Drosophila melanogaster: one gene and its partner. The protein of the gene in region 1 purifies or fractionates together with the protein of each later gene. This does not show direct contact. Each region holds a gene or a part of one and is shown on either strand. Other genes may lie near its edges. The genes, in order: CG1513 and GAPcenA.

Region 1 (8,451 bases):
TCCTTTGCCATCTCAGTTGCTGGCTTCATTTGCAATTTATGAAGGAAGCACTTACGTCGACCTGGCACACATGTATGTACATTGTATACTGCACATTCTCACCTCAGGCTAACACGACGGACCCACTTCTTAAACATGGTGGTTGGTTTCAGGCGCTGATGCGGGCCGTATGCGTTACTGCACTCCCAGCGTCTGCATAATTTCGGACATAAAACGGAAGCTACCGAATCGAAACGTAGACAAAAGCCGCCGAATAGTCTACGCTATGTACTGGACAATAAAAAAACCATCAAACGGAGAGCCGAGGGGGGCCACTTGCACCCAAAGGAGCTCTTTGACACTGCGAGGCGATGACGAACGAAACTAGAACTGACAGGCATACACAAAGGCGACTTTAGCTACGACTAGGCCGAAGGATGTCGATGACGAAGCGAGTCGCCGACGACAAAGCGTTGTCAGCTGTGCCAACAAAGCTTCGAAGGGAGCCCGTTGAGGCGGAGGAGAAGGTTTTGTATTTATTATTTACACGCGACTTGGCAGAAATTACAGGCTGCCCCGAAACTACGACTGCGACGAACTTCGGGCATTGCATTTTGCATGCGCTGCTTAGGCGCATGCGCCTTTCCAAAGGAGAAGGAGGAGTAGCAAAGCCGAAGCGGGGGGTTCCGGACTGTGGGCAATGAATGCGTAATATTAGCACGCAGCACACATCACACATAACATAGCACGCTTGCCGGCTGCCGCATCGCATCTGATTGATGGCCAGTCGGCGCACTTGGTCAAGGGCATGTCTTAGTTGCTACTTGTAAGACCTGCACAAGTGGTCTACTTACCAGCCAATCGGGGAGCTGCCAATGCTGGTGAAGGGATCGTCGTAGGCATCGTAGAAGTCCTCCTCGCCCTCGCTGCTCGAGTATGAGGTCGCTGGCACAATTAAACCCAAAGGAGCGGTGGTGGCTGCCAAGATTAATGCCAGATTATCGGGGGTAATGCAAATTGAGCTTTCGCATTGATTTCGAACCGCTTGACCCTGGCTCGATGACCAGTTGCTTGGCCAAGAGCACTCACCGTTCTCAGTGGCCGAGTCTTCCTCGTCGTCCACCAGCTCACCCTTGCCTATTACTTGACCTTCTAGCGGCACCTTAAGGCCACCTGCCTGGACGTTGTTACAACTGCCCATGGCAACTCCACTGGTTGAGGAACTAGTGGAGGCCGTGGCCGGTGGACCGTTGTAGATTCCATTTATTGGGTGGGCCATGTTTTTGGCAATCTGCAGGCTGACAATCGAGTGCTTAATGTGATCCAGCATGGCCTGAAATGAGAACTACGTATTAGCCAACGGGAGTGGTGAAAAAAGTGGTTTGGCTTTGCCAAAGTTTGCAGACGAAGTGAGCAGCTGCCATGGGTGGACAGCTGCCGGTCGATTGACATTCTCTCAGGCTTTTGCATCTGGCCGCCTCTTAACCCTGAACTTGCATTGGAAATCGATATGAGTGGGTGGCCCAGTGGGCCTGGATATACGATTCCAACCAAAAACTTCACTGGGAAAACAAAAACACACAATCCCGTATCCGAATTCTCTAAATTCCCAGCATTTCAAGGAAATCGAATTACATTTAAGGTTTAAAGGCTACAATTAGAGCTAATCCGCAATGGAGTTTCTGGACCCAAAGATCCACAGCGCCGACAAGTTGTGCGACCAATTCGAAGAGTATAAAAAGAAGCGTGAGGAAGCGCACTTGGAGCTGAAGAACAAGGTGAACACCATGTTCAATTTGAAAGCGGATATCAAGGAGCTCAACGAAAATATGGAAACACTTCGCATTGGAATGCAACAGCTGGATGACCAGCAGAAGGTTCAGCTGCATCAGGGAAAGCTAATGTCTCAGTCGATGTTCGGTACCATTGAGGCTGCTCCTCCAGATGAAGGACAAGTCCCTTTGAAGGACGAAGATACCATACCCAACAAGCTCTTGATAAAGTCCGAGGTAAAAAAATGTCTCTTTGAGGGCTGCCAAAGGCGAATAGACAGCCAGTTGCTTTTGCTGCACTACCTATGTGATCATGAGAACAAGGAAGCTTCCTTTCAGCGCTTTCTTCCCGTAGTGAAACATGAACGGGCTGTGCTTTCTTTTAAGCCGACGAGCTGTAAGAATCCTGATAATCAGGTGTTGGGACTCCTGGCTTACAATGCACAACAGTTATTGATATCCCAGCGGCAATGTGAGCCCTATAACAGCTTCCCGCTGAACCAACACTCGCACCTGGATAGTCACATCCCGTTGGTGGTGCTAATTTCCCAGACATTGCCCAATACGGCTCTGCGGAATAGGCGTTCACCAGATAGCCACAGAAACAGTGAGTTCGTCCTCTGGCTGGTTACACCCAGCGACGGACTGCAGTTGAACGTTACGCTCAGTCTCTATGGAAGAGATGTTGCACTAAGAACCAGCTGTGTTTTAGGTGTTCGAAAGGTTAATAATAACCGGGACGCGGACTATTACATGGCAGTCGACGAAAGTTACTGGCGTCTGACGTACGCCGAAGTGGAGAAACTCTCAAACAACTTTCGTGACGAACTCCACCTGGAGGTTGTAGTTACTGAGTCCGAGGGAAACGTGTAACCTCTGCTTACTTACATTTGCGTTGTCCTGGAGTGCCTTGCACTTAGACTGCTCCGCCGGATCGGTCAGCTCCGCGATGCGTTTGTCCAGTAACTGGGCAGGACAGAGAACAAGAAAAAATGACAATAAATTGCATAATGCCTGCATTACGTGGCACAATACTCACGTTCGTTTGCTCAATCATCAGCTGGAGGTAGGCATCTGCCTCGGAAACACGGCGCGCCACCAACTCCAGGTGGTTGGGTCTTCTGCCGCCTGTTCCGCTCCCGCCCCCTTCCTTCGTGTAGCCACCGGCGATGTAGAAAGCGCTTTGGCTGTCCCACAGACGCGACCGGTTCGCGTGGCGTCGAATGGTGTCCTCCAGGCGGCGCACCCACTGCTCCCGCTCCTCGTTGTGTCGCGCCTGCAAGCGTTTGGAAAGTTGGCAAGTTTAGTGGGCTCCTTTGCTTGTGTATGGGTATTGGAAAAAGTTTTATCGTTACATCAAGGCAACAAAGTCAAACAAAAGGTGGAACGTGAGGACCAGACAGTGGTTTCTGGGTCGATGCCCGGATACCCTTTTCCGGTAAGAGGACGAAAACTCTTGGCAAGCAAAGCGGATAGGCCATCATGCTTGCTTTATATCTTTTGGGACGAAAACGCGAATTGCAAAAAGAAACGTGCTGCCCTCTTGATCTACATAGTTTTTGCTTACGTATACCACTAGACGTCATAAAAAATCAATGCAAGTGTGGAATTTAAAATGAGTTGGTTCTTCAGTTCATAAAACAAACAACGTCGTACTTAAACTATTACGGTGAATTATGAACTATTAGTGAAACTGCAAAACATTGATCAAGCTTTCCTTAGACAATCTTTATTTCCATTTACTAAGGAGACACTTACCTGAAAGTGGAAGGTCTTATGGTCCACAGTGATTGTGAATGTGTTGTCCTCCTGGTCGTCGATTCCGATTAGCGCATCCTTTAAACGAACACAACCGCGCCTCACGCCCTTTATCATCTTATCCTTCGACTGTAACAGAAATGCAGTCGGAATTAGGAAAGTTCATTAAATCGCAGCTCATACTGTCAAAGGGCTATTACGCCTGCTATAAATTAATGTATTCTAATCAATGCTTGGGGAATATAAAAACAGTGTTCGGCGTGCTGTTCACGCTTAAATGTTCGCCAGCGGTCAAGGCGGTAGAGCTGCAGTCCACCAGTCCCACGCCACCTAAAGGATACAGGCCAGCGGAAGCTCAACACAAAGAAGCGAAATGGAGGCGTCAGCAAGTGAGCTCCTCTTGGATTTGTCAAAAAACTGTCTGATGGTTTCAATAAAATTGTAGGTATAAATTTGCAGCCGGTGGTGAACGTTCCTACGATTTATAAGGATCCCTGGTACATGATCACAGTGCTGGTCCTCTATCTGTACTTCGTCACCAAAGCGGGTCCGCAGTAAGTTCACATGCTAATGTCAGCGTCGCTTGTTTGCATGTGGGTCAGTGGACTTGACATTAGCAATTCAGCGGGTTCGCTGGCTTACTTATATAAGAAAGAAGACCTTTAATACCTCGCTTATAGTTTCATGGAATGGCGCAAACCTTACGAGCTCAAGCGACTTATCTTGCTACATAATTTCATCCAGGTGGTTTCCTGCATATATGCTATCAAAGAGGTGGATATTTATAAATTGTACAGCAGCAGCAGCATCGGCTAATTGCTTTTCTCTCGCAGGTCCTGTACATTACGGACAACACCATATACATCTTTTGGAAGTGCCGCGACATCGGGAGCAGCCCAGAGCTCGTGAGGCGGTACTACAACTTGGCCTACTTTCTCTTCTGGCTGAAGATCTCTGAGCTGATTGAAACCGTGATCTTTGTGCTTCGCAAGAAACAAAACCAGGTGTCCAAGCTGCACATCTTTCATCACTTCTCCACGGTAACGCTGGTCTACGCACTGATCAACTTCAACGAAAATGGTAAGCTAGCCGGCTGCTGGGTGACCGACTATTTTCATAAATGCGTTCAATTGTACAGGTTCTGCTGCTTACTTCTGCGTGTTCTTGAATTCTATCGTTCACGTTATCATGTACTCGTACTACTTTGTGGCGGCAGTGGCGGATAAGACCTTGGTGCAGGCCCTAACTCCAGTGAAGAAGTGCATCACAGTGATTCAGATGACGCAGTTCGTTCTTATCCTCACGCAGGTTGCTTTCCAGCTGGTATTGTGCGGCATGCCGCCCTTAGTGCTTCTCTACTTCACCACCGTCATTCTTGGCATGTTCTACGGCTTTTACGACTTCTATAATAGTGCCTATCAAGCCTCGCAGCGGCGCAAGAGTCAGACCCCTCAGTCAGACTCAAAAAAGTAATCTCCTGTCAACAAATCACGCAATAAAGGGGTACCAACAAGTGTGTATGTGTATCCAAATGTATCTATAGCAGATAAGATAAGGCTGCGGGCCATGAGGAGTTCGTTCTGGGTGCGATATGGGTTTCAGTCAGGAGGTGCACTGCAGCCACTCACCGTGTAATAGGACAGCAGTCCAGCATTCTCGTCCAGAACGAAGAAGCGGTACTGCCAGCCCTTCATCACATTCGTCCACTTGCTTAGCGTGCCCTCCAATGTGCCAGAGCCACCACTCCCGCTCTGGGGGGGTCCCAGGCTGGGGGCACTTCCAGTGGTGCTGGCCATTTGATCCAGCTCCCGTGACACGGCCACCGCCTCCTCCTCCGCCTTTGATCCCTCTGCGTCCTCGTGGCTAAAGGCTTTCCTTGTCCCCGGGCGCGGACCTGCCTCGTTCCCTGAGCTCTTTTCTGTCCAGGAGCTGATGATGACGCAATGTTGCTTCACAACTCGCACCCGCAATCTGTCACAGCCTCAACTCCGCTTGGAATTTGCAAAACAAAGCAAAGCCCTGCCAACTATCGATGTACGTAAACATCGATGATTTTCTAGCCCTCCGAATCGCAGCTCGAGTGTGACCGTGCGGCGACCGCTGGAATATACCACCTACTATACCTAGCACACCTTACAAATTTGGAGTCATTTGGAAAATCATAACATGTAAAATTAGCTAGCTATGAAATTATAACCCTGTTTAAATCAGCACAATAAATAAATAAACAATAAACAATAAAGCACAAAAGTATTAACTGGCTTGTAAAATTTTAAGTAAGTTCGAGTTCTCGTAGTGAAAATATTTAGTCGTTCGCTATCGATAAATATTGTCATTTTGCAGCACAGTCACACTGTGATATTCAGCCTAGTTTATTTCGCGGTATTGAAATGTGATGTTTATGATAAACAACAAATAACGTTACTTGCATAGAACAAGTCGTAAGGTTACTGTGAATCTTTTACATCTTAACATTAAATATTGTTTGATTTCAGGAGCAACATGTATCCAGTGTCCTTTGCGGCATTTCAAAAGTTAATCGTTAATTTGTCTGAAATTGCAAGTGAGTTGAAAACTGCCAATGGAGACAATAGAACGTTGGTCGAGTGGAGCAGATGGTACTACAAAGAGTTCTACCGGAATCCCAGCATACGGGCAAGGTTCCCTGTCAAGGTGGCGCCGTGTCCCAGGCGGACACGCGACAACTTGCTTAAAGTACCGGAGCCAGGAGGAATTTCACAAAACGATGTTGCAAACGTAGCAGCTGCAGGACCATCTCAAGTAGAGCAACCCGAAGTCTTAGTTGAAGGCAGCCAGTTGACGACGCTCGCTGAAACCGCGAAGTCCCATGATGCAGTTGAAGGCGTTGCAGTTGAATGTAAACCATCAGGATCGGAATCTCCAGACGTAATTGTTAATGTGGAGAGGTGGGTAATATTATTTTCGAGCAGAGCAGATTAACCAATTTTGACTCATTTCAGATGTGGCGCCTTCATCTTTCCGGTATCCTTTGATGTATTCCTACAGTGCATCAATAAGATGTTACTGTTCAAAAAAATTGTCAGGAGCATAGAACACTGCCTGGTCCTCTTGTCCGACGATGAGCGTCGTCTTCTTACACTACAAAGGTTCTACAACCGCTTTTACATGTATCCAGAAAAGCGATCCCCTACGAATATCTTCAATGCAACTACAGAAATCCCTTTGGAAAAGTTGCTTGAATCTGGGAAACCACTGGACAAAAAAGCGGTCAAGACTGTGGCGGAGCTTACTGCAATGAAATCCCTTACGAAAAAGTAAGTTTGGGACACTTTCCAAATACTCGTTGTTTACTATAAATATTTCACAGTTCCATCGTCAGCTTCGAGGTATTTAAGAAAAATATGGCAAACTTATCGGACATTGTGGAGCAAATGAGGCAACTGGATGCTAATTATGCGAGCAAGGATGTCCAGGAATGTGCCCTTGACTATTACCTGGCGTTTTACATTACTCCGAGGATCCGATATAAATACGCATACAAATTAAAACCTTGCACGTCGACTTTCAAGGCCTGCATGCTGTCCATTCTCGGCAAAGATATTGCCGAAAAGCTTAGGAAAAGCCTCCCTCAGTTAGCTAATCCCTCGCCAGGACTTGATTCGCGCAGGCCCAACACTTCATATATTACTGAGAGCAAAGGGTCATTAGGGTCGCAGAATACCAGTGGCTCTTCACAAATCCAAACCAGTCCCAGCATGGAGGTTGCCCACGAACCGAGTGAAGGTCTGTCCCAGTTAGCTACTCTTTCGCCAGAGAATTGTGCTGCGGGAGCTATTAGCACGACTGAAGGGCTATCGAGTTCACATAATACTTTAGAAACTTTCGAAAACCAAGCTAATCTCAGGAACGATGCCAACAAACTAAGCAGATGTATGCCGGCATTAGCTTCGCCAGAACGCCATCTGCACAGTTCGAAAGCCCCTGAGAAGTCATCTGAAGTCTTAAGTCCCCAAGTTAAACCCCATCAGAGCAAGGAGGTTGCCGAAGAACAATCAGATAGAGCGCCCCAGTTAGAGATTCCTCCGTCAGGTTTCGAAGTGCCCATGTCCAAGACACCAGAGAGTCCTGCTTCAAAAACCAGAGCTTCGGACGAGACCCCAGCCAAACCTGAAGAGATCACAGATTCTACCGATGTATATGAGTAAGTTAGCGTAACCTGAATTGTTTTCATAATTTTAAAACCACAATTTTAGGACTTCCTTTGTGACGGATGTTGAAGTGGACCTTAAAAAGTAAGAAAAATATAAATTACCATTTTTTTAAATTTTTAAGTAACAATTTTCAAAAAAAATTTTTTAGACATGGGCGCTTTATTTTTCCCGTATCACTTGAAACTTTTCGGCAATATATTAACTATGACGAGATTATCCGAGCAATTCTAGTAAATAATCACATTAAAGACGAACATCAACTGTCAAAATTAATTTCTGATCCTTCGCACCCACAATGCAAAAAATTTTTCCGCCAGTTTTACAATAAATTTTATGCACGCAATGATGTTCGTCAAAGATTCAAGTACAAATTCAATTGCCCCAATCCTAAGATGCTGGCTAAGCTAAAACAAAAAGCTAAGCCACTTGATGAAAAGGCTCTTTTTACAATGAATCGAACAGATAATGCAAAAGCAGTAAACGAATCCAAGTCCCAGGTACCTTTCACTCCTAAAACAACAACAGAAAATTGTCCACCAAATCCCATTTCTTTAGAGATGTTCAAACGTCATGTGAGCAATCTCGATGATATTGTTAATGAGATGCAAAAATGCGATGAGTACAAAGAAAAAAGCAAGGAGGAGGTAATTCAGGACTACTACGAGGGCTTCTATTCTGGACCAGACATGAGGGAGAAGTTCGAGTGCCGATTTAAACCGTGTCCCAGCAAAAAAATAAGACAATTGTTA
Region 2 (11,499 bases), on another chromosome or scaffold:
GCTTCTGATGGCTCTGGGTTTATTGGATTTGCCAGCGAAATGGCCACAGTTGTGTTCTAACACTTGGCGGCACCAGACCGAGACGGTTCAAGCGGAAGGGGCTCAGGATCCTGTTAGAAGGACGAAACTATCGATGCTAGCCGAAGCATTGGGCTATGGCTACCTGCTGGCCTACGTGATCTGCCTGCTCTGCTGGCCAGGAGAGGCGTATCCCGCCAGCAGTAGCTACCGGGATCTGGATATATGCAATCATTGGGACGGAAGACGTCACTTCCTGGAACTGGGAAGTCCAGCTGGAGAGGTGCACGCCAGGAATGTGACTACTACTGCCTATAGAGTAAGTGTATTTACAAGCTTCTCCAGACGGGATTTGGTCAGCAATTATGAACTTAAAAACAGAGCTCGCCGCTGGTTTTTAAGAACGATGCAGTGGCCGGGGATGTGTGGTACCAGTGCAGCCTGGAGCTGGTCACCTGTGCCGAGTGCGTCATCCGAGTGGCCTTCACCTATGCCAACTTCTCCAAAAGTTGCGGCAATACGGGTGGCAAGTCCAGCATGTGTCCCTGCGAGCATATCCAGTTCTCGGAGCCGCCCTATGATTCCACCATTTCCGGCCAAGAGTTCTGTGGAGATGGCAAGGTGTTTCGGAGCAAAACCAGGACACTGCAGTTGAAATTCTTCTACAGAGCCAGCAATGCGCACGTGTTCTCCCTTCAATACTTCTCGGAACGTAAGATTTAGAATCAGTTGGTAGGTTTTTAAGAATGCTCTATCCGGATTTCCCTCGGAATAGGCAACGTGCGGATAGTCAGTGGCTCCCCCAAGCAGTCTATTGTGGGCAATGGGAGTACAAAGTCCCAGCCACAAGTGATCTCCACGCCGTATTTCCCGATGGCATATCCACGCGACTATGGTATCGAACACATCCTCACCTGCGAGGCGGACAACTGCCAGGTGCGTTTGGATTTTACCGACTTCCAGCTGGGCCTCACCTCCACCCTAGAGATCTTCGACTCCAATGGCCAGATGCTGGACTCCTATACGGGTGAGCACTTCCGTCCGCCGATCACGGTGAGCAGCGGCAAGTCTCTGCTCCTGCAGTTTCGAGGAAATTCCGCCACCGGAGTGGGTTTTCGCGCGGAGGTTAGCTTCGTATCCTCCAAGCAGCTCAAGGACGAGCGACTGGTGCCCTACACAGGTAAGTGAATGGGTTGCAGTGCACTGAACAAAAACTAAGACTATCAAACAACTCAGATCTAAGGTTAAAACACAAATATTCCGCAGGATTAAAAAATTCGAGGTTTTTAAAAGTATAGAACATTATGCTTATCTTCATTTTAGAACTCGCAGATTGATTAACTTTTTAAATGGATTAGTATATCTTTTCTCTGTAGGAATAGGGACATTTTAATGATTTTCGGATTAGTCGAGCACTTGAAAGTCTGCAGGCAATTGTCATATTGATTTTGGCGAAGGTAGTGGGTGGGGTGGGCACTTGGCGAATATCAATGTCAATGCAAGGCGTTGAAGTGGAAACTGGGTGACTCTGGTTGGGTTCGGTTTGGTAAGACAATCGATTTCTTGGATCATTGCCCGTAGGGTGGTTGGCAAATACTTGTATATAATCCGGAATGGGGTTGGTTATGCACTATTGCGACAGGTTGGATCACAATGCATGATGCAAGAGCACATAAATAAATGCTTATGTACATATCTCTATTACACCTCTAGATTGCGGGGGAATGGTTACCGGACCTGGTGGCGCCATCACCATGATGAACATGATCGAAAATGCCACGGACGTGCGGCTGTTTGACTGCATCTGGATTATAAAGCCCGGCAACAACTACATGATGATGAAAACCCACATCTCGTTGAGAGTGGATGACTTCTACGGCATGGCCGCCAGATCTGAGCTCACAATACGGCAGGGCACCACCTCGGATGCCGTGGAGATCGAGAATGTGATGTGGCCGAACAATGGGCTGAGCAAGGAGAGTCATGTGGCGCCCATCCTCAATGGCTACTACATTCGACTGCGTGGGGTATTCGGGATGTCCTCCAAGCTGGCCATCGTCTACAGCGTGTTCAACTACTTGAGTGAGTTCGATTGGAAAATTTAAATTTAATGTTTAATTAACCAATTCGAATTGCTTAGATTGCTATATTGGCTCGGAGTTTCTGTGCGGGAACAATCACTGCATATCCATTCGCCTCCACTGCGATGGCTTCGACCATTGTGGGGATGGCAGCGATGAGCCGGATTCCTGCGAGGAGGACTGGGCACACCTGCATCACGATCGTCGCTGGTACTCTCACAAGCCCAACTATTATTTCCCCAAGATAGACCAGTATCCAGATCTTAAGACGGCCACGGGAATCTTTATCATCAGCACACTTGGCATATTTGGTGTGCTGTCCGGCTGGATGGTGATCCTGTACAGGATGGGGGTTAGAGCACGACACCAACGTGAGCTTCAAAGCCACCTGCAGACGATCAGTGAGCTGTTGGATCGCCAGGACGAGGATCGCACGCCCGATGAGCCACCCAGCTACGAGGCACCACCCGATTACGAGGAGGTCATCAAGGTAGGAATGCAACAGGAGCTACGGGAGCCACGTCGCCAGAGACGGGCCCGTCGAGCTCCGCCTAGAGATCGGAGCTGCAGTCGCGCCGCAAGCAATTGCACCGTGCAATCGGTACTCCCACTGCATCGCAGCTGCACCCTGGAAAGGGATCAAGAACAGCCCAGTACCTCGGCGGCGGCAATGACCCATGCGGTGGCTGCCACGGATACAACGGAGGATGCCGAACACGTCCAGACGATGGCCCAGCGAATGCTCCTCGCCACGGCTATTTGTGGTAGGTCGAGAGTTCCCCCAATCCCGCCCTGCAGTCGCTAACTTACCCACAGAGTCCCACTTGCAGGCACTGCAGGCACGTCTCTCCCGGCAGCAAAGGAGTCAGGGCAGCGGGTCCAATCCGTGGGGATTTCAACGAGCCCGTCATCGTTATCCGCTGGGGGTGAACTACCCACAGCAGGTGGGTCAGCCACAACGCCCGGCAGCACGGCAGATGAGTGCACCCAGGGAGGCGACTCACTTAGCATTTCACTCACTCTAGGCTTGCCCTCCACCACGGCAGAGAGTCCTGTGACAACCGACCAGAACCAATTGCAGAAACAAAGTCCGGAGCAGACAATCAGCAATTGCACGGAGCACACCTTCCTAAAGAGATCGTGGTTGGTGGTGCAACAGGTTCCACCTGGCAGGGGTTACCGTGTCCGGAGGCTGCGACATACCTTCTCCTCTCCTGAAGCATTCACTAGCGATGAGCTGCATCTGCCGTACCCGGATTTCCTGAGCTACGGCACTAATCTTCCACATGAACGGAGCAGTAGTAATTTCGGATCCGAGTTGTCGAGGGACCCATCGAGTTATAGTGTGGGCAAACGAGCTCGCTTGACGCCCGAGGACACAAGTGGATCGGAGACCATTACCCAGGAGATGGAGCAATCCAACCAGACACTCCAGTCCCATGTGATAGTGGAAAGTCACCCGAATCACAGCGAAAGTGAGAGCGAAGCGGAGCAGCAGGTGTCCTGCTTTGGAGCCGTAGCCCAGCGGCCCAAGAGGCGTCATCGGGGTCATGTGAGGAGCCGATCCTTTAGCAATGCCAGAGGTGGCAGTGCCGGAAGGAGGCGTCTCATGCAGCGCAGCTCGTCGGCCGATCTTTTGATGAACTACGCGACAATGGCGGTATCGACGCCACAAAAAACGAGCGAGGCAATGCAGCGATTGTTCTTCATCTGAGCGGGAGATTCAAAATGGAAGAGTGGACAAGTGGAACGATAGTATTAAAGCCTGGTGTGATTCTGGTCGGATTCTAGTCACATATAAATAAATAAGCCTGTTTCTTACTCGAATGTTATTAGCTTATTGAAATTCTTAATAAATAATTAACTTCAACTTCATCAAGACTTATCCAAAAGGTCGCAACGTTTGTATTCTTTATAATATGTACCATACCGCAAAAAGAAATGAATAATTACATTATGAATTAGCATTTTTTGTTAATTTATTTATTTATAGCCGTTATACGTGTAGCATTTGCCAGAGCAGATCAATATGTGCCCCAGATCAGATCACAAAAAACAACAACGAACATCCATCGCCCAAGATTCACTTCAACCCACTAATTGATCCGGGGCACATCCTGACCAGCACTGACTTTCGGGTGCCTCAAAGTGCAAAATAATAAAAATCTATTACTCGCGTATATATGGAAATCAAAATGCACGTTTTTATATGTATATATAGACGAATATGATAAATAATACCAGACGTAGTCAATGCCGTAGGTCTGCCTGCTATCCAGATCCTCCTACGTTGTAGCTGTATCGTTTCCTACTGCTGCAGCTGTTGCTTGAGATTCTCGGCTAGCGTTTTGCCAGTGTCCAGGGGCACTACTATATTGCGCAGACTATCGATGCTGTTGCGCAGCTTGGTGGCCTGGAATTTGCTGGGCAACTTCGGTGACCCTCCCACCGACGCAAATGCAAAGGTCTTGTACTCCTGGGCAGCCATTCGAGGGACCAAAAGATTCAAATTCAGTATGTTATATACACGGGGTTTTATTTGCAACGCAAAATATCAATAAAATCATAAGCAACCCGGGTTTTAGGGTACTAACAGAAACAGCAGAGGGGTTCAATGCCTGCATAGAGTCGACTAAATAAAGATTCTCAATGTGTGTCATGGTGTGAGGTTAAGCGCGTAATTAAATTAATCAATGATAAGTAATGGGTATTAATAAAGTATTTCGAAAACATTCCTGGAGCTCAGCTCGTGGGCTGATAACCCATATCTTAATCATAGAAATAATACATAAAAAACTTAAAAATAATAAACTGAAGATCTTTCAGTCATAACAGTTGGCCGGATCACTGGACTCTAGGTTACCTGATTGCCGCTGGGGGAGCTGGCCTCGCTTAGGGTAGTTGGCGCCTGGCCCATGTAGGATTGGAATGAGGGCATCGGTCCGCCACTACCATTATCCCGATGGCCGCCTCGCGTGGTTACCTTCTCCTGCAGCGAATTGAAGGTCTTCGATAGCCAGGGCTGCCAGCTGTTGCGGTTGGTTTGCAGCTCACTGAGCGTATTGCTGAGCTGATGGTTCAGGTCCTGGTTCTTGCACTCGGCTTCCACTTGAGCTAGCTTGGCCTGGGCCAGCTCCAGCTCTAGTTCGCGGATGCGTTGCGAGGCAGCGTTTAGCGGATCAAGTGGACCCAGTGGATGCTCATTGGCATTCCGCATGGCATCGGTTTGCCCCCTGTTCTTGCCGTCATCTGACTTAGCGTTGTCATTGCCGGCGTCGATCTGCTGCTGACAATCCTGGCAATTGGAAACCATGTGCTGAAAGAGAGTTGAAAAATGAATATCCCGTCAAATTCATATTACAATACAATACTCACCATCACTTTTCCTAGAGTCTCGCTTAGTGTGTTCATGTCCTGCTCTTGGCGCTGGATGATCTGCTTGTATTCCTGTATAATGCCTGTGTGCTTCTTCTCCTTCTCAACAGCTCGCTCCTTGGCGGAAGTCAGTTGTTTGTTCAATGCGTCGATTTCCGCCTGCATTTTGCGCCTCTCCTCGCCGAAACGATTCTCGTAAATCTGTGCCTCCTTCTCCAGGCGCTCCTTGTGCTGCTTCTTCAGCAGGAACTCCTCCTCGTACTGCTTCAGTTTTTTTATCTTACGTTCGCAGGCTTGCTTCATCACCTTGCGTGCCTGACTGGAGCTGCGGCACTTTTTCGGCAACGTTACCCGGAAATACTTTAGAATGCCCTCAAAATCGAGTTGCCGCAAGTCGGATTCACAGATTGATAAGAGAGTAACGGCCACCTGGAAGAGCACAGGTAGTCCGTCCAGTAGAAACACATCCAGCACGTGGAACACAAAACACAATGGGAATCGCGCTGTATATAAGGTTAGGAACCATTGGGAGGCGTACATGTGCGTCTCAATGCCGCAGGCCGTGAAGTGTTCGTGCAGCTTGGGCAGCTGATCCTTGATCAGTCGCTCCAGTTGGTAGAGACGAAGGTAAAGGACCTCGAATCCGGCTTTGTAGAGATCACGGAGCCCATAGTCGTACATAAGCGCTACCAGAACACAGAACGCATCCTCCTCAGGCATCTGAAAATGTGTGTGTAAGCAATCATTCTTAGATGTAGATTGTCATCATCATTACTTACATGAAGGAGCAGACTAGCTGCTATGAAACTTAGACCCTGACAATATCCAACCTCGCTGTCATGAACGGCATACGCTTTGGACACCTTAAAAAGTGCATCTTGGCCAGAACCGCCAATTTCTTTGAAGCATTTGTGCGCCGGGAAAGTGCGATGGATGTCCCGCTGGATAACGGTCTCACATTTGGTTTCCTACAAGTAAATTTCCAATTAATTTCTTTTCACATGGATAGCGTCTATACTCACTTTGGTGATTAAGATCTTGTACTTGTCGTTCATTTCCATTCTGCCCTCGACGTTGGCTAGCTTCTGCCAGATCTTTTCACGCAGTGCTTCTGGAACGCCGAGGCGTACTAAAGGTGCCAGATTTTTCGGTCTCTTCTCGGAATCCCACTCACGCAGAATGGGATCCCATTCGTCGAGCGTGTCCTGCGAGCAATCCTTAGATACCTCACCAGTGCCACTCAGCAGCGGCTCATCCCCATCGCTGCTGTAGTCCGAGGGACAATCATCCTCAATCGAGGCAATGGACGAACTGCGCACAATGCGCGATAGATTATTCATACCCATCTTGAGCAGGGAAGAGCTTTGCTGGTGGCCCGGCTGCTCCGTTATTTCCTCAGAGGGATCAATGCTATTCACTTTCCAGTTGGACTCTTCGGTCCGCTTTAGATGCAAATAGAATCGTAACGTCATGGGTCGCTTTGACATAAAATGGTCCATAATACGCATTTCGCTGGCCGACTGAATGGTCACTGGGGTCTCAATGACGAACCTAACCGGTTCCTGTATACGTCGCATCACAATGTCTACGGCCACAGTGAGATTGGTCTTTGACGACTCAAGATTTAACTGCTCAAAGGCCTTTTCCTGGGCTTTCCACTCAGCTCGAATTGTATAGGGCCAGGAGGAGCTCTGCTGGGCATTGCTGTCCGATTCGGTTGCTACTCCTGTTCCGCCGGGCTGAATGTAACCCATGCTGTGCATGTCGATCAAATGCATATCCTTTTGGACTACTAGTTTTCCGGGTGCCACTAGAACACCGAAACATCGTTCGATATGCAATGGTTGAAGAACATTTGACGGAGTCTGTTTGACTGTGATGCACACTTCCTTATCTGTGTTCGCCCTTAGCTTAAAGCATCCCCTATCGCGAGGCACTGCGGCATAGGAGTTCTTTGCCACTCGCTCACGGATCTCTAAGGAGACTATGAACTCATACCCAGCCGTGTTTAAAGGATTTCCGCTTACATCGGAGGTTACCGAGTTGGCCATGTCAACGGCCGAATTAAGGCTGCAACTCATGCTGGGCGGATAAGTCTGGAATGCCTTCTGGAAGCAGGCTGCGGGCGAAGATTTTGAATAAATCGGTGGGATGAAATCACTGTATGATCTGACTCACCGCTGACTTGATTAACCGCTTCGGGAATATGGCACCGAAACACATGGCACTGAAACAATGCATCGCCGTGAAGCCAAGTGAATGCAAAGCATCCGTTTTCCACCGTATCCACTGGTCCTCGATAGTACAAGATAATGCTGGATATCTCATAGGTGGCAATAATAGTATTGCTCTCGGCATCGTGGAGGCTGTAATAGCAGCATGATGACGCTCAGTGAGTAATTCAAGGGGCAGTAAAAACTTTACTCACACAACCAGGCCTTCTGAGCAATTGGGTATGCTCACAGTGATCTTCAGGCCCACCGACTTTGAGCCACTATTTAGCTCGCCCATGATGCGATAAACCTCCGTCTCGGATTTTGGGGCATTAATGTTGGCTGCGCCCAGGTAGGTGACTCCGGAAAATATGGTGCAGCCCTGATCGATTTCAGAAACTGAAAGTGAAAAACACATGGTCAATTAAATTTCAATAATTACACTAAACATAGATTTCAGCTTTAGGAGCCTAGGAACACAATATAGAACAAATAATAAAGAACTCTGTGAGTATATAGGCTTTCGTAAAATGAACAGAATTTATAGGCAAATGTACCCCTTAATTTTTGGGATTTTAACTAACTTAAGAGATCTACTCACCCTCCTCGTCGGTGGTGTCGCCCTTCTCCGGCTTCATGGCATCCTGTTTTTCCTCCACGCAGGCGGGGCTAGCGTCTATGCAGTCATAGAACACTGAATGACCCACTCTGTTTGAGCTGGATGCATCGTCGAGGGTCTCCTCGCTTTTGGGCGTGAACAAGGTGCAGGGGAAACGCATCTCGGGATCGACAGATCCCCCGCCGGAGCCCGTGAGCGGTAGGGTCAGGGACTTTTGCTGATGACTCGGGAGACGTTGCGCTGACTTCTCCCCACTGGCAGCTGCAAATATGTTAATTGTCAATTACGCGACGAGCAATAACAAATGCCGAATTATGCGGAATTTTGTTTAAGGAAAGTATTATTATTCGGTTTGTTTGTCGTTGTTTCCATGACAGCGTAGCACTACGGCTCTGCGCCGATAAGATTGCAGCTGGTTAGGCTTAGCAATCGTTTGATGTTTCCAATAGTGGAGCGACCGCGACGTTGTGTGCACAGCTGGCGTTGGGCAACGACTGAGTTTACTTTAGGCTACCCAGGGCAACCCAATTCACCCTCTCAGTTGTGTTTCTTTACTCACCTACGCCGCGTTCCAACTCCAGATCTTTGAGGGCGTCCGTCATCTCGTGCTGCATGTCGCTTAGGTTGCGATTGTGGGCCATGTCCAGAGTGGGCGAGCGATCTCCCCCAGCCTCGGGGGAGGACAGAGCCAGAGCACTCAGCGAAGTGGGCGGTTTGCCACCCACTTCAGGCTGAGTTCCCTCCTGGTTGACAACCTGCTTCACCTGCTCCATGGGACTGGCCACATTGCTGTCGGTAACTATTTCGTACTCCCCGCTGGTTGTTATCGAGGATTCCGAGGACTTGGTGCTCAGATTATCATCCATTCCGAACACTCAAGGTTGCCTCAGTTCCAGGCACTCCCAAATGGGTTACTCTTTGTTGTGTGTGTGATATATTCGGACTTTCTTTATTCTTAAGCCCTACGAATTGCGCATTTTCAGGGCAGGTAAACAAATCAATTTCTGTTCCAAGGCCACGCACTCGTACTCGCACTCGCTTTTAATAGATTTCGTTTTCAATTTGTCCAATTTTCAGCGGAGTCGCATTGTTTGGCTTGGTTCCGCCGTAAATCGATGACGAATCGGTACGGTTTGCTTGGCGTTTTGGGGGCGTACACACACGCGCATGTATGTCACACAGTGCCCAATTCGCGTGGGAACTGGAGGGGTTGGGCCTTCAAGGGGGTGGTGGACGGTGGGGTCGGCGGGGTCAACAGTTTGTCTCTGTAGCCTCTGCGCTTGGATTCCTATGGATTTTTTTGTTATTTTAGTGCGTGCAGCTGCTTTGAGCTTACACTTTGGTTTTTATATTATAGCCTACACTCCGCAGAACTGTAGTACATTGTTTTGACCCTTTATTGTTGTGTTTTTATCGGGTTTTTAGCAATTTTCTTGCAATTTTCCGTCTGTTTTGTTTACATATTTTTTTGCTAGTGATGACCTGCAGTAGGTCGATTCCTATCGAAAGGAAACAGCTGCTTTAACGTTATTCAATACTTCTTTTGAAAGTGTTAATAAGTGTACCTATCGACTTAATCGACTAGTTATTTTCTTTTCTATGCATATTGCCATATGCTTATATGGCAATCTAAATAATCCAATAGCATTACAAAGTTGTCTTTGACTGAAATGACTTGTCTTGAATAAATTTAAATAAATATAAATAAATTTTTAAATTGTAATTCAAAGAACCAAATCTATAAAGGTATGTGATGTATGGAAAATATTGAGAACATATTAAACATATAGTACATATCGAAAAAGTGTCATCGCCGTGACATAATACCCCGCCAGTGTTGCCAAATACTCTGCTACACAACACTACCGCGCGTGCTGGAAAAAAACGTGCGCGTTTATTCGTTGCATTTTGTTAAGATAATTCCTTAAGTCCGGGTACTTCTGACTCCGATTCCGACTCCCAAAAGATGTGGCCGCGATTTGGCATTAAGATTGGCAACAGCACGCTTTGCATCGCCCATGTGCGCGCGGATGGCAAGGCGGAGGTGATCGCCAACAAACAGGGCGACCGAGTGTCCCAAGCGTGCCTTCTCTGGGACGGAGCCTCGGAGATCGAATGTGGCCTCACGGCCAAGCAGAAGATGGCCAACCGTCCGCGCCAGGCGGTGGCGCACAGCTTTCAGTTGCTTCAGCCCAAGGAAGAGCTCACGGAGGAGAAACTGTCCAGTGCGCTGCGTGAAATACCCTGCGACTTTGACAAGGAGGAGCTGGTGTTCCGGATGGAGCACACTGTACCCTCCGACAGGGAGGACCAAGACGATAGAGTTGTGACCAAGGACCTCAGCGCCTATCAGGTGACGGTGGAGCTGCTGCGCGCTGAGCTGGAGCTGGCCCATCAATATCACACGGACGGGGAGCAGGCGCCCATTGCCGTGCTATCCATACCCAGCTACTATCCCGCCTCGGCCTACAAACTGCTAGCAGATGCCGCTCAAACCGCTGGCTTCCATGTGGCCCAGATTATAACCGAACCCACGGCCGCCGTTCTAGGCTATAGCATCGGCGAGGAGCAGACGGAACAGCGCCGCCATGTGCTGACAATCAAATGCGGTGGCTTATATAGCGACATCGCATTCTACTCCGTCCAAAATGGCCTGTTCGTTCAGCTGGCCACTTTCGGACCCTTCCCCATCGGTGGCCGGCAATTCACCGAGGCCTTGGTGCAGTTTATTTGCGAGGAGTTCCGTCGCAAGTACAAGCTAGATCCGCATGAGTCTCGCCGCTCAGTGGCCAAAATACGCACTGCCGCCGCCAATTGCAAACACATCCTGACCACGATGCCTTCCACGCAACTTTATATCGACTCCCTGATGGACGGCGTTGATTACAATGCCCAGATGTCGCGTGCTCGCTTCGAGAGCCTCATACAGCCAGTGATCAATAACCTCATCCAGCAGCTAGGCGAGTGTGTGGAGCAGGCGCAAAAGGAGCATCCCGGGTTGAGTAAAATAGATGACATCGTTCTACTAGGCGCCACAATGCAAATCCCCAAGCTTCAGGCGGCAGTGGGAGCCCGCTTCCCGGATGCCAAGCTCCACAACAGCCATTCGGCGGACGAGGTTGTGGCCATCGGCTGCGCGCGCCAAGCTGTGTGCCTGATTGACCCCCTCGAACAGCAGCTTCACAAGGAGGAG

Evidence for each region.
Region 2: the proteins of CG1513 (region 1) and GAPcenA purify together in Drosophila melanogaster (affinity purification with mass spectrometry, with the first as the bait; one large-scale study listed by BioGRID). This does not show direct contact.

The regions. Positions count from the first base shown.
Region 1 is NT_033778.4:9,886,098-9,894,548, forward strand, and holds the start of CG1513 (uncharacterized protein), read right to left. Parts: upstream 5,593-8,451; 5' UTR 5,306-5,592; coding exon 5,138-5,305; intron 5,045-5,137; exon of another isoform or gene 4,983-5,044; coding exon of another isoform or gene 4,648-4,982; intron 4,590-4,647; coding exon of another isoform or gene 4,343-4,589; intron 4,284-4,342; coding exon of another isoform or gene 4,190-4,283; intron 4,064-4,189; coding exon of another isoform or gene 3,955-4,063; intron 3,899-3,954; coding exon of another isoform or gene 3,883-3,898; exon of another isoform or gene 3,781-3,882; intron 3,639-3,780; coding exon 3,510-3,638; intron 3,389-3,509; exon of another isoform or gene 3,028-3,388; coding exon 2,791-3,027; exon of another isoform or gene 2,718-2,790; coding exon 2,640-2,717; exon of another isoform or gene 2,625-2,639; coding exon of another isoform or gene 1,653-2,624; exon of another isoform or gene 1,551-1,652; intron 1,313-1,550; coding exon 1,069-1,312; intron 958-1,068; coding exon 834-957; intron 372-833; exon of another isoform or gene 138-371; coding exon of another isoform or gene 103-137; intron 1-102. Other genes in the region: CG12923 (uncharacterized protein), read left to right, coding at 1,653-2,624; CG30008 (uncharacterized protein), read left to right, coding at 3,883-3,898, 3,955-4,063, 4,190-4,283, 4,343-4,589, 4,648-4,982; tea (telomere ends associated), read left to right, coding at 6,012-6,436, 6,491-6,805, 6,859-7,692, 7,745-7,783, 7,851-8,451.
Region 2 is NT_037436.4:8,344,843-8,356,341, reverse strand, and holds GAPcenA (GTPase activating protein and centrosome-associated), read right to left. Parts: upstream 9,782-11,499; 5' UTR 9,173-9,781; coding exon 8,866-9,172; intron 8,802-8,865; exon of another isoform or gene 8,568-8,801; coding exon 8,289-8,567; intron 8,087-8,288; coding exon 7,903-8,086; intron 7,841-7,902; coding exon 7,653-7,840; intron 7,594-7,652; coding exon 6,497-7,593; intron 6,443-6,496; coding exon 6,254-6,442; intron 6,195-6,253; coding exon 5,475-6,194; intron 5,416-5,474; coding exon 4,963-5,415; coding exon of another isoform or gene 4,954-4,962; exon of another isoform or gene 4,618-4,953; intron 4,576-4,617; coding exon 4,408-4,575; 3' UTR 4,063-4,407; downstream 1-4,062. Other genes in the region: Culd (CUB and LDLa domain), read left to right, coding at 134-337, 400-730, 794-1,198, 1,732-2,100, 2,159-2,863, 2,930-3,813; CG7182 (uncharacterized protein), read left to right, coding at 10,273-11,499.